3 linked regions of the Astyanax mexicanus genome follow. The protein of the gene in region 1 binds, or shares a complex with, the protein of each later gene. Links are inferred from orthologs where the notes say so. Each region holds a gene or a part of one and is shown on either strand. Other genes may lie near its edges.

Region 1 (3,757 bases):
CTCTTGACTCTTGGCACATCAGTGTATAAGCGAAAGCCTATTAACTCTGAAGTTAATTATTTACCGTTTTCCTGAACAGCTCCAGCTCGTTATCAGCATAATCAGAGGACATCCTTGTTATGTCAGTTTCGGCAGTGTTCACCTGAATAAAAAAGAAACACTGCATTACACATCTGTTAGAACTGATGCACTGCTGCTCATCTATATTTCACTACATCACTCACCAAGGCGTAATACTGAACTCCATCCTCTTCTGACATGCCTTTCCTGATGTACATGAACATCGGCTGGAGATTAGCATTGATGACATCAATGAATTCATCCAGTCTATCTGCTGAATAATGCGCTGCAGGGGAACACCAAAAAAAAAAATACATAAACAAAAACGCAAATTTACAAAGTAATAAAAAGATCTGGAATGGCCAATAAAAGCCTTGATCTTAATCTTAACGAGGTGCTGTGGGATGATTAAAAGCAGGCTATGCAGCAAAACACTCAGACATCACAAAGCTGAAATAATCCTGCATGGAGGAGTGGGAAAACTCTTCCAGTCAATGACTGTTAGATGGTTAATAAATAAGTATGAATAAGTATTTCTATTTAATTAAAAAAAACTTTTATAAATATTAGATTTTTAAAATACATTTTTTCACTTGTCTGTTTAGTCATAATTACCTCTAAATATTGTTCATCTCAGTGTGCCATACCATATTACATGCAATAATATTACCAAATATTTGATGCAATAAATTATTTATTATTTTTCTGTGTTCTTGAATGCAGATTTGTTTGTATTTGTTTTGCTATGTACTGTATTTACCTGTTTGCAGTTATATGTAGGCAATACATTTACTGAAATTTAGTTCTGTAGTAGATGTTTTGTTGTAACATTACTTTGTTTTTGTTACACTTATTATTTTATACAAAAAACAGAGTCTTGGCAAGTTACTGTTTACAAAACGAACACACATTTATAGATTATTGTTTTTGTTTGTTTTTATTTAATGTAAAAAAACTCGTCTTGTTGCATTAGTATATTCTTTTTTATAAATATATATATTTTTTTTTTATTCAGTGTCATATCGACAAGAATATTATCAAAAATAAAAAAAATATATATTCTGATATTATGTTAGGGCCATATCACCCACCTCTAGTCCATATGTATGATATGTTTTGTTTTTTTTATTCATATGACTAAATTCAAACGTACTAGAAGCTTCATTTCTACTCTAATCCTTAATAACACATCTACTTTTCATATTTTTTATATTACACTATGCTTCCAGTAACTGAGGATATATTTTAGATTTAGTTTGTCAGTGTGTCTACTTCAGCATTTCATTATGACAGGGTATTTTAGCTTTTTAATCAAAATTCCCAGTGTTTCATCCCTGGACAGTTAAAAGTCTGGACCTATGTTCCCTTTATTAATCCTAAAATGTGGAAGTGTCAATGTTGTCCTGACTAAACATACAATGAAAAACAATGTGGACTTAATCAATAAGAATATCGGGAACAAAAAATATGTGATTATTTTGTGTATGTGGATCTTATTAAATAATACTAAAAGGCTACAAACCTCCATGGGTTTCACAGCAATGTCGATGAAGTGCTTTGGCCTGGATGCTGCTGATGATCCCATTACTCATTAACGTTTGCAGGAACCGCTTATGGCTGTCTCCCATTGGTCGGGACATTATGAAACTTTTTTTTTTTTTTGCCTAAAATGGAAAAAAATAAAGCATTTAGGATTACAAATGCAAAAATAAACTAAATCTACATGTAACACTGAGAGATATTTATAAAAGTAAATAATCACTAGATTTTCAAGATACACTACAGTTTTAGAATACCACATGTACCTTACTAAAGTAAATAGATCCATGTTTTCTAAGTACTGCTACTCGAGATTAAAATACTAATATAGTTTCACTAGTTTGGTAATTCCATAACTCCACCTGTGATCAAACTAAAACTTCCAAATACAAATTCTCATAGGAGAAACACACACACAATACTGAACACGCACACACACAAAATACTAAACACACACAAAATACTAAACACGCACACACAATACTAAACACGCACACACACAAACAAAATACTAAACACACACACACAATATACTAAACACACACTAAAAACACAACACTAAAGACACACCACAGAAGATAAAACAAAAAACACACTAAACACTGAACACACACACCCAAAACACACAAAACAGACACAAACAAACACCTCCATAAAAGTTGGGCTAAAGCAAGTCAGTGAACGCCATGCAGCTGATAAAGGACAATTTTACAAACAACCAGTTTAATTACAGTAATTAACAACAATAATTACTATATTATTATATTTACTATCATTACATAGTTTTTGCTGTGTGTTATCACCAGTGTTCCAGTAAATATCCTAAACTAGCTAAGCTAAGCTACTATCTCAGGCTAACAGTGCTGTAGCTAAGCTAAGCCAGGCTAGGCTAAGCTAATGCAGTAAAAAGGCTGTCTACGCCCATAATATAGCTAATAAACTTTCCACCCGCATATTTTACACACTTTATTCTCTTAATACAGCCTCTCACACTATTCTCTAAGTCACTCTAATCTACTCACACAGCCCCAGTTCCCCCAGTTTACCTGCAGCAGGACTTTGTAAACTGCTTTCAATCTGCCGCCGCGAACCTGCAGCAGCTCAAACACTTCCGCTCCTTCCGCTCCGGGAGCAGAAATATGACCGGTGTTCTGTCGATTTTAGCAAACTGGTCAAACTATGCTACCCTAGTGTGTACTTAAAGGTAAAATGCTAAATATTATAAAATATTAGATCATGCTCGCAGTAGAAGTCTCGGTATGATATTTGAACAGCTTATCGCTGTATCAGGATATTTAGGAAATATATTTTGTCATTAGAAACCAAACGTTTGTATAGTTTTTTCTTATATTTTTTACATGGTTGTAACATTCAAACAAACGATGCCAGCAAGTCCAGATTGTACAGTGCACCCGAGAAAAAAAAACTAAATGATCAGGAAAAACATATAAAAATAGTAAACATGAGAGTTTAACGCATGCGCAGAGCCGCTAAGTAGCACAAACCAATGGGTAGCACAACTCGACAGAACACCGGAGAACATTTTAGTCCTAGCCCCGGCTCAAATCAGCGCCACTTTATCTATAATCTTAGATTATAGCATTAGTCCTTGATTCATTAATGATTTAATATCATACTTATTGTAATACTGGCAAAAATATAAATAAGTTTAAAATAAAATAAAATAAAATAAAATAATAATAATAATAATAATAATAACAACAAATATACAATAATATTAATAATAATAATAATAATAATAATAATAATAATAATAATAATAATAATAATGTATTAATTTTTTTAAATAAATGTGGACCTTTAAAGAGGCACTAAACCATATTTTTTCCCATTAATAGCCTAATATCTAGTCCTGCCTAAAACTTTTTATAAACCTTTTCTAACCTTTAAAAAAATGCTTTTATTGCGGTCATATCAGAGGCACATATCAGAGGCACACAGCCCAATCAGCCTTTTCTCCTGCCCCGCCCCCGCCGCCTGCCTAAATTTCCTTCGGGATCAATAAAAAAATAAAATAAATCTTAATGTGTTTGAGAGCATCAGTTGTGTTATAAAGAGGCAGGGTTGACATTTGAATCAATACATATTTTGGCAAGAATTATTCAACTAAGTAAAGAAAAAAAAATATTTAAGGAAT
Region 2 (3,757 bases), on another chromosome or scaffold:
CTGACTGAAAAGGAAACATACAAAAAAAATCAATACATTTACACACAAATAAAAGTCAGTTATGTCATAAACCTGCCGTCACAATATGTAGAACACACGGTTGGTCAATATAAAAAAAAAAATACGTATTTACCATTAGCAAACAGTTTGTTGGCTTCTTCTAACACATCAATCAGCTTATTGTTGGCAGGGTTCAACATGTCCTCACGATTTTCTGGGAACAACAGTCAGGCATGTTAGTACAAATGACTCAGACTAGATACACAGAAGTGTAAAAGTAGCAGCAAGTTGGCAACACTAAAAAGCACAGCTGTGTAGAAAAAAACACAATTGAGGTGCTCACGCTGGACAGAGTTGATGAGGTCCCTGTACTGGCTTCTGATCTCCCTCCGACGGGCCGGGTCATCATCTTCCTCATGGATCCCTGATGGACCAGCACCCTCATCCTCATCACCCGTGTCTGCTGCTCTCTCGGACCTGCTGCGTCCTCCTACTCCATTGGTATGTGCAGCAGACTCCTCCTGACTTCCTCTGCTCACTCTCCGCCTTGACTCAGACATCTCCCGACAGAGCGGTAGCGGTTCTGTATGTAATAACGGTGGTCAGATTCTTCAGTTGCCTAAATGAATGAACCAAAATAAATTCAATTAGCCTGCGTTTACATTACAAGCCACAAATCCTCCAATCCGATTTGCTCAGATGGGATTTGGCTATCTTGACGGTCCACATTCACAATTGTAAGTGACCTGTATCTGTGTGTAATCTGTGAACTAATCGGTCCCTCAAACGCCTCACATGCGCACATTGATACATATACAAATGTCGCATTCTTCACTAACAACAAAAAATTCATAATTGGAAGACAAATTGTTGCTTTATAAAGGTGAAATTTATGTGTTAGCTGCTTATAAGTGGAGGAAAAAAAACAGATCTGAGTCATATTGAGCAAAAAAAAATGATTTGAGTCACTTCAGCCTGGTAATGTGAATGAAGCCTAATTTAACAAATAGCACATTTAGACAACTCTCTCTAACTTAAGTTAAATGAACTAAATGTCATTCACTAAATTTAAAATAAATAATTCTAATAGTTCTAATGTTTCAGAAGCTATTCTGAGATCTTATGAGTTATAAATTGTTGTTGTTTCATTTAAACCTTCTGTTATGTTCATTTGCCAGGGACAGCAATGGTGTTCCCAGGTCAATTTGACCCGGTGCATGCATGTTTAATTATCCAAAAGATGTCGGAAAACTCCTAACAAGCAGTGTACATATTTAATTACTAACTCTATTACTAATTATTCTATCAATATTTAGTGCCTCTATCAGGTAATGGTTTACTTAGGATAATTCACTCGTTTTTTTTTTTTTTAAGTTTCACTTTTGAAAGACCAACATATACAATTCATAGTTTTACATAACACTGAAACATTACACTTCAATTTTGTTTTAGTTTTTGGTTTTTGCAGGGGGTGGTTGCAAATGTGAGAGATGAATCATTTTCATATTAACTTTTATGTTGAATACACTAATTATAGCAAGCAGAAAAAGTTTCATACTAAAAAATACTTTTAACTAGGGGTGGGTGATATGGCTCTAAAATAATATAATGATATTTCACAGTATTTCTGTGATAACTATACTCTTGGCGATATGACAAAACATCGAAATACAAAAAAATTATTTTCAAAATTATACTACTGCAACAAAATTAAAATTACATTTTATTATTGCATACGATATGACTTGGCACACCCCTAACTGAGATATTTAAAAATACAAGAATTTTATCAGATTTGTAACAGAAGTCAATGATCCACAATGTCATGATACTAACAATAATGCACTCCAGATATCTCCATATTTCCAGGATTAAAGTTAAATAAATGATATTGGACAGATATAATCTGTCTCTAGTAGATCTATAATGGGAAACTATATATTTTTGGAATGTCACAATATTCGAAAAATGTCTGCGGTATTATTGCGTACGACACGATATCGCACACCCCTACTTGTAACTATTTTTTCTAGATCTTCAAACTTTAAAACGGGTCTATTTGACCCGTAGCATAACAGAAGGGTTAACGCTGTGTTACATCAAGTATTTTACCTTAAAATATTAGTTAGCTAGCTAACCGTCATGTTCCCACAATAATAATAAAAAAAAACATAAATGAGCTGATCATGTATAAATTTATCTAAATCAATTTTAAATGTGGCATCAATATTCAGAAATAGCTGTGGGATAAATGGTTAGCAGTTAACAGCCTTCACAATTAAAGAGCATTTAGAACAGTAGTTAAATAGCTAGTTGTTAGCTGTTTAGCTAGCTGGCGATACATTACCCGCTGCTGCTGTTATTAGTGAGCTGAACTGGTGCCGCAGAGATTCTGCAGCTCCCGCGCGGCTAGTTAACACTAGCGCTTCACTAGTGACTCAGACACCACTAAACACATCTGGAAACACATATCGCTAACATTAAATCCATCTACTTTTTAAGATTATAGTTAATAAACAGCTATAAAGTGAGGCTGCTTCCAGAATCCAGCTCTAAGCACTGAGCTAGTTGTGTCTTCGCGGTAAAATAAACACGGAAGTCGGTTTCGTTCCGGGTTTCGTGCAGCGTTCAAGACCCTCTGGAGTTTGTTTCAGAATGTTTACCAAATGTATTATACTAATTCTCTTTGAATCCCTTTATTTATTTATTTATTTAATTATTTATTTATTGTTTTATTTTCGCGTATTTTTTGTTGTTGGATATATTACAACAATATAAATCTTACTTATGTGCTTTTTATAAATGTATATAAGTTATATAGAGAGAGCATGTTTCCACGAGGCTGAAGTTGGTTTGATATTCGCAGCTCCAGATTCGTTTGGCTCGATATTCGCAGCCTCGTATTCCCCGGCTGAAGTTGGTTTGATATTCGCAGCTGCCGCTTCACTGAACCACCGTGAACTAAAGGGAGCGTTCACAAACACCCGCTGTTTATATTAAACACCTCACAGATCAACACTGAAGGAGATAGAATGAAGAAAAGCAGTACATCTGTTTATTAACAATGTAAATATACAATATATTATTAAATATAATTTTGTATATTGTAAAATATTTATTTTAATTACTGAATTTATAATTATATATTACAATAAATAATTAAATATATGATTAATAAAATTATATTTTAAAAGCCATTGCGCTCAAAAAATATGAGGCAGATGTTCAAGTGTGATTTTGAAGAACTTTTTCATGTTGGGCCAGACCAAATACACATGATCTGAAGAGTACTAGTCTTCTACTTTAAGGAAAACCTGGAAGTAGCCTGGCCCGAGCTGATTTTATACTTTAAAATGAACTGGCAACATAGCATACCGATCCATAATGCACAATTTTTTTTATGAAAAGCTGATGTTCCAGTGTGATTTTGAAGGACTTTTTAACCTTGGGCCAGACCAAATACACATGATCTGAAGAGTACTAGTCTTCTTCTTTAAGGAAAACCTGGAAGTAGCCTGGCCCGAGCTGATTTTATACTTTAAAATGAACTGGCAAACTTTGAAAGACTTTTTCATCTTGGGCCAGAACACATACACATCAGATGAAGAGAACTACTCTCCCACTTTGAGGAAAACCTGGAATTAGCCTGGCCCGAGCTGATTTTATACTTTAAAATGAACTGGCAACATAGCATACCAATCCATAATGCACAATTTTTTTTATGTAAAGCTGATGTTCTAGTGTGATTTTGAAGGAC
Region 3 (3,757 bases), on another chromosome or scaffold:
AAATTTTTATAAAAGTAATACATAATATGCACTCACACCATGAAATGTTCCTGAATTTACTTAAATTACGTAATAAACAGACTTTGATTAAACCTTTGCATCCAACCACAGAGCTTAAACAAGATGCATTTATGGAAAATAAAAAAGAAATATGACCAAATTAACTAGGAAAAATAATGTGATTAATGCTAATACATTATTTTATCATTTAAAACCCCAGTAGTTGCGCAAAACACCCAAGAAAAAAAAAAAAGTATTTTGTTAAACTGCCATTTTTTTTAATCGCTGTGATTGAAGCACGCATTCACTGTGGCATTATTTCAATAAGCTTTATTAGTATTATTAATAATGTTAAAATGCTGTGGTATTGTTTCAGTATTGTTATTGAGATATTTAGGCAGGTATCATATCCAAAGTCAAAATGTTGGATTTTGAGACAACACTATTAATGTATCTGTTAAAAGCAAAAGTTTACCTGGGTAAGAGGACATGTGAAGTTTGTCTGGCTCTGTGTAACAGCAATGTCTTCATCCAGCTCCTCTTCAACATGGGCAGCCGCTGATTGGTTCACTAAAAAAACACACATGAGAACTGTTTAATTACCTTTTTATCTCAAACAACTGCTACCTAAATGAATCCGATTAATACAATAGTATAATAGTACAATAATACACTGCTGGCTAAACAAAAAAGTGGTATTAAGAAACTGGGTACCACTTTAAAATAAGACTACCTTCATAAAGGGTTTATAAATGGTTTACTATTCGTTTATTAATGGTTACTAATTAGGTTGAAAATGCCTTAAAAATCATTAATAATCAGTTATAACACATATACGTAGAAAAGGCAACAATACAGATGGCTGTGTAATATAGTTCACTATTTGGCAAACAACAGGTCACTGTCCTTTCTCTGTATGTGTTATAACTGATTATTAATGATTTTTAAAGCATTTACAACCTACTTAGTAACCATTAATAAACTAATTGTAAACCATTTATAAACCCTTTATAAAGGTAGTCTTATTTTAAAGTGGTACCAGAAACTGAAACCAGGTAGATGGGAATCATTAAAAACAAATAGTTGATTTTTAGTAACACTGTCATTTTGATTGTAGCTATTCTACCAATAAATGAAAGAGGAAGAGTTTTCCTACGACAGAGATCATCATTTATTGTTTTGAGTTTAATGAGTTGAAATCGCTGTACTGTGTTTGAGACAGGAAGAGACAGTGTGTACGATACCTTGTGCCAAAGATTTCCTGATGTTGTCTCTGAAAGCCACTACTTTGCTGTGTCTCTGAACGTCTGAATCCCTGTCCTTTAGTTCAGCAAAGCGATTCTTTACAGAGTTTAACAGCGAGAACATGGCCTGTGGAGGTTCTCGTCTCACCTGCAGACACAGGAGAAAATACAAGATGAATTAGAGGGATAGAAAAAAGTATATTAGAATTAGAATTGAAACGATCTAAAATTACTAACATGAGCTGTCGTCTGCTCAACAGATTCCACAAAACAGTTTATCTCTCTGTCCAGAGCAGCGCATTCTAACATCATCTGCTCCAATTTTCTTAAACTCGGACTGTCATCAGTGCCTGGAATAAAACAAATAAAAAGAATCATAGCAACACAGCATCTGAATCTACACACACTCTCAACAATTACAAGAAACATCAAGCATGTTTACAGTGCTGTAAACCATAAAGCTTCGCATTAAACCAGTAACTCGGTTAATCAAATTACTTTAGTAATAAACTCAGTATATGATGAGAAAAAAACGTACGGAATGGCATTATTAAAGTCGTAATATTTCGAGATTAAAGTCTTGATATTACGACTTTAACCTCATAACATTACAACTTTCATCTCCCAATATTACGACTAAACTCAGAATATTACGACTTAAATCTTGTAATATTACGGCTTTATTCTCGCAATAATTAACCTTACTTTAAGAAATTAAGGTCAGTCAATCTGAAACATTTCAAGAGCTCTTAAAGTATCCTCAAGTGCAGTCACCACAAAGACCATCAAAAACGTTATGATAAAACTGGCTCTCATCAGTAACGCCCCAGAAAAGGAAGAGCAAGAGTTACCTCTGTTGCACAGGAAAGTTCCAGTCACAGATAAGTGGGACCAAAATAGGTTTTATGGTTTGTTTAACACTTTTTACTCGTTTACTACACGACGTGTTCCTTTATAGTCTAAAATACTTTAACATTTATTTACAATGTAGGAAATATATAACTGTATGTATAAAAGGCTGTATTTGATTAAAGATTAGTTAGTTAATTAGTTAAGGTTAGATTTAGGTAAATAGCTGTACTGTACCTTGGGCTTCCACCAGATCCAGAGCGACATCTGACACGATGTCCATCCCTGTCCCAATATCCACCTGACATGTCTTCAGACTGGACAGCGCGGGCTGAACTGAACTCAACGACATAATTTAACGCTAACTGTTACCTCTGTGATTTCCGGCTACAGCGGACTGGTTAAGAAACTGAATTAATCGGAAAGTAAACCGGTTTGACCTGCGAGTGGGTAAAGCGTGTTTACAAGTTAGCTAGTTAGTTAGTTAGCATGTTAAGCTAACCGTAGTTAGATAATTTATCCGAAACAACCGGGTTCAGCCAACAAAACAAGCGTACACACACGTAGCTAAATATAGTATAATAGTGTTAAAGTTGTTAAAAGGTTTATAAAAACTAGCCCGACACAAATAACCAGTTTATTTTACTTCAGATAGCGACTCAAAAACAAATCAGGCTCCTGCAGCCCGCCTCAACTACTGCGAGTGACGTGAAGACAAAATAAAAGTCCCCCCCACTCTCTCTCTCTCTCTCTCTCTCTCTCTCGCTCTTTCTTTTTTTCTTTCTTTCTCTTTCTTCTCGCTCTACAAATATACAGTACCAGTCAAAGATTTTTTTCCTACTATGAAATAACACATAATGAATCGTGTAATTAAACCAACTAAAAATACTCTGAGAAGCACTTAGGCGGGCTCAACTAACAAACACTATTTAAAAAACAGTTTACTTCGATAATAAACTAGTAATATGACGAGAGAAAAAGACGTATGGAATGACATTATGAGATGGCATTAAAGTCTTAATAAACGTGTAATATTACAACATTATTCTCGTAATGTCACACCTTTATTCCTGTAATATTATGATAATATTTTTACTTTAATTTCGTAATGTGACTTAAATCTTGTAACGTTATGAAATTAAACTTGTAATGTCATGACTTTAATCTCGTAATATTACGACTTTATCCTCGTAATATTACAACTTTAATCTCATAATGTTATGACTTGAATATTGTAATATTATGCCTTTAATATCGTAATGTTATGACTTTAATCTCATAATGTAATGACTTTAATCTCGTAATGTAATGACTTTAATCTCATAATGTTTTGACTAATCTCGTAATGTTACGACTTTAATCTTGCATCATTTGTTAACCCTTTTTAAAGTTTATTACATTATTCCTCATGTGTTCTTTCGCGGTCTCGGGGCTTTTATTTTGACATGCACGCGCAGGAGACGCGGACAAATCGCAGCAAGAACCGTCATTTGGCGTCGCGGCCGCAGCCTATCGACTCCTGCGGGGCCACGTCATGTAAACGGAGTAAAAGCGCGTCCGACCGACACTCAACCAAAATAGAAGCAGCCGAACCGGGTTCACCCCGATCCGCCGCGATCCGCCGCGATCCGCAGAGCCGCAGCGCCGCGCTCAGGGCCCGGTGT

The links.
Region 2: nsmce1 (region 1) and nsmce4a share a complex: the UniProt entries of both Homo sapiens proteins name them as parts of the SMC5-SMC6 complex. The link is inferred for Astyanax mexicanus from reciprocal best matches to the Homo sapiens genes NSMCE1 and NSMCE4A.
Region 3: nsmce1 (region 1) and nsmce2 share a complex: the UniProt entries of both Homo sapiens proteins name them as parts of the SMC5-SMC6 complex. The link is inferred for Astyanax mexicanus from reciprocal best matches to the Homo sapiens genes NSMCE1 and NSMCE2.

Annotation. Positions count from the first base shown.
Region 1 is NC_064410.1:58,237,598-58,241,354, reverse strand, and holds the start of nsmce1 (non-structural maintenance of chromosomes element 1 homolog), read right to left. Parts: upstream 2,728-3,757; 5' UTR 2,646-2,727; intron 1,725-2,645; 5' UTR 1,701-1,724; coding exon 1,583-1,700; intron 347-1,582; coding exon 225-346; intron 143-224; coding exon 65-142; intron 1-64. UniProt on the Homo sapiens protein: RING-type zinc finger-containing E3 ubiquitin ligase that assembles with melanoma antigen protein (MAGE) to catalyze the direct transfer of ubiquitin from E2 ubiquitin-conjugating enzyme to a specific substrate.
Region 2 is NC_064414.1:35,024,862-35,028,618, forward strand, and holds the start of nsmce4a (non-structural maintenance of chromosomes element 4 homolog A), read right to left. Parts: upstream 2,609-3,757; 5' UTR 2,348-2,608; intron 620-2,347; exon of another isoform or gene 584-619; 5' UTR 561-583; coding exon 344-560; intron 215-343; coding exon 134-214; intron 5-133; coding exon 1-4. UniProt on the Homo sapiens protein: Component of the SMC5-SMC6 complex, a complex involved in DNA double-strand breaks by homologous recombination. The complex may promote sister chromatid homologous recombination by recruiting the SMC1-SMC3 cohesin complex to double-strand breaks.
Region 3 is NC_064413.1:4,744,762-4,748,518, forward strand, and holds the start of nsmce2 (E3 SUMO-protein ligase NSE2), read right to left. Parts: upstream 2,794-3,757; 5' UTR 2,446-2,793; coding exon 2,331-2,445; intron 1,595-2,330; coding exon 1,482-1,594; intron 1,393-1,481; coding exon 1,245-1,392; intron 571-1,244; coding exon 476-570; intron 1-475. UniProt on the Homo sapiens protein: E3 SUMO-protein ligase component of the SMC5-SMC6 complex, a complex involved in DNA double-strand break repair by homologous recombination. Is not be required for the stability of the complex.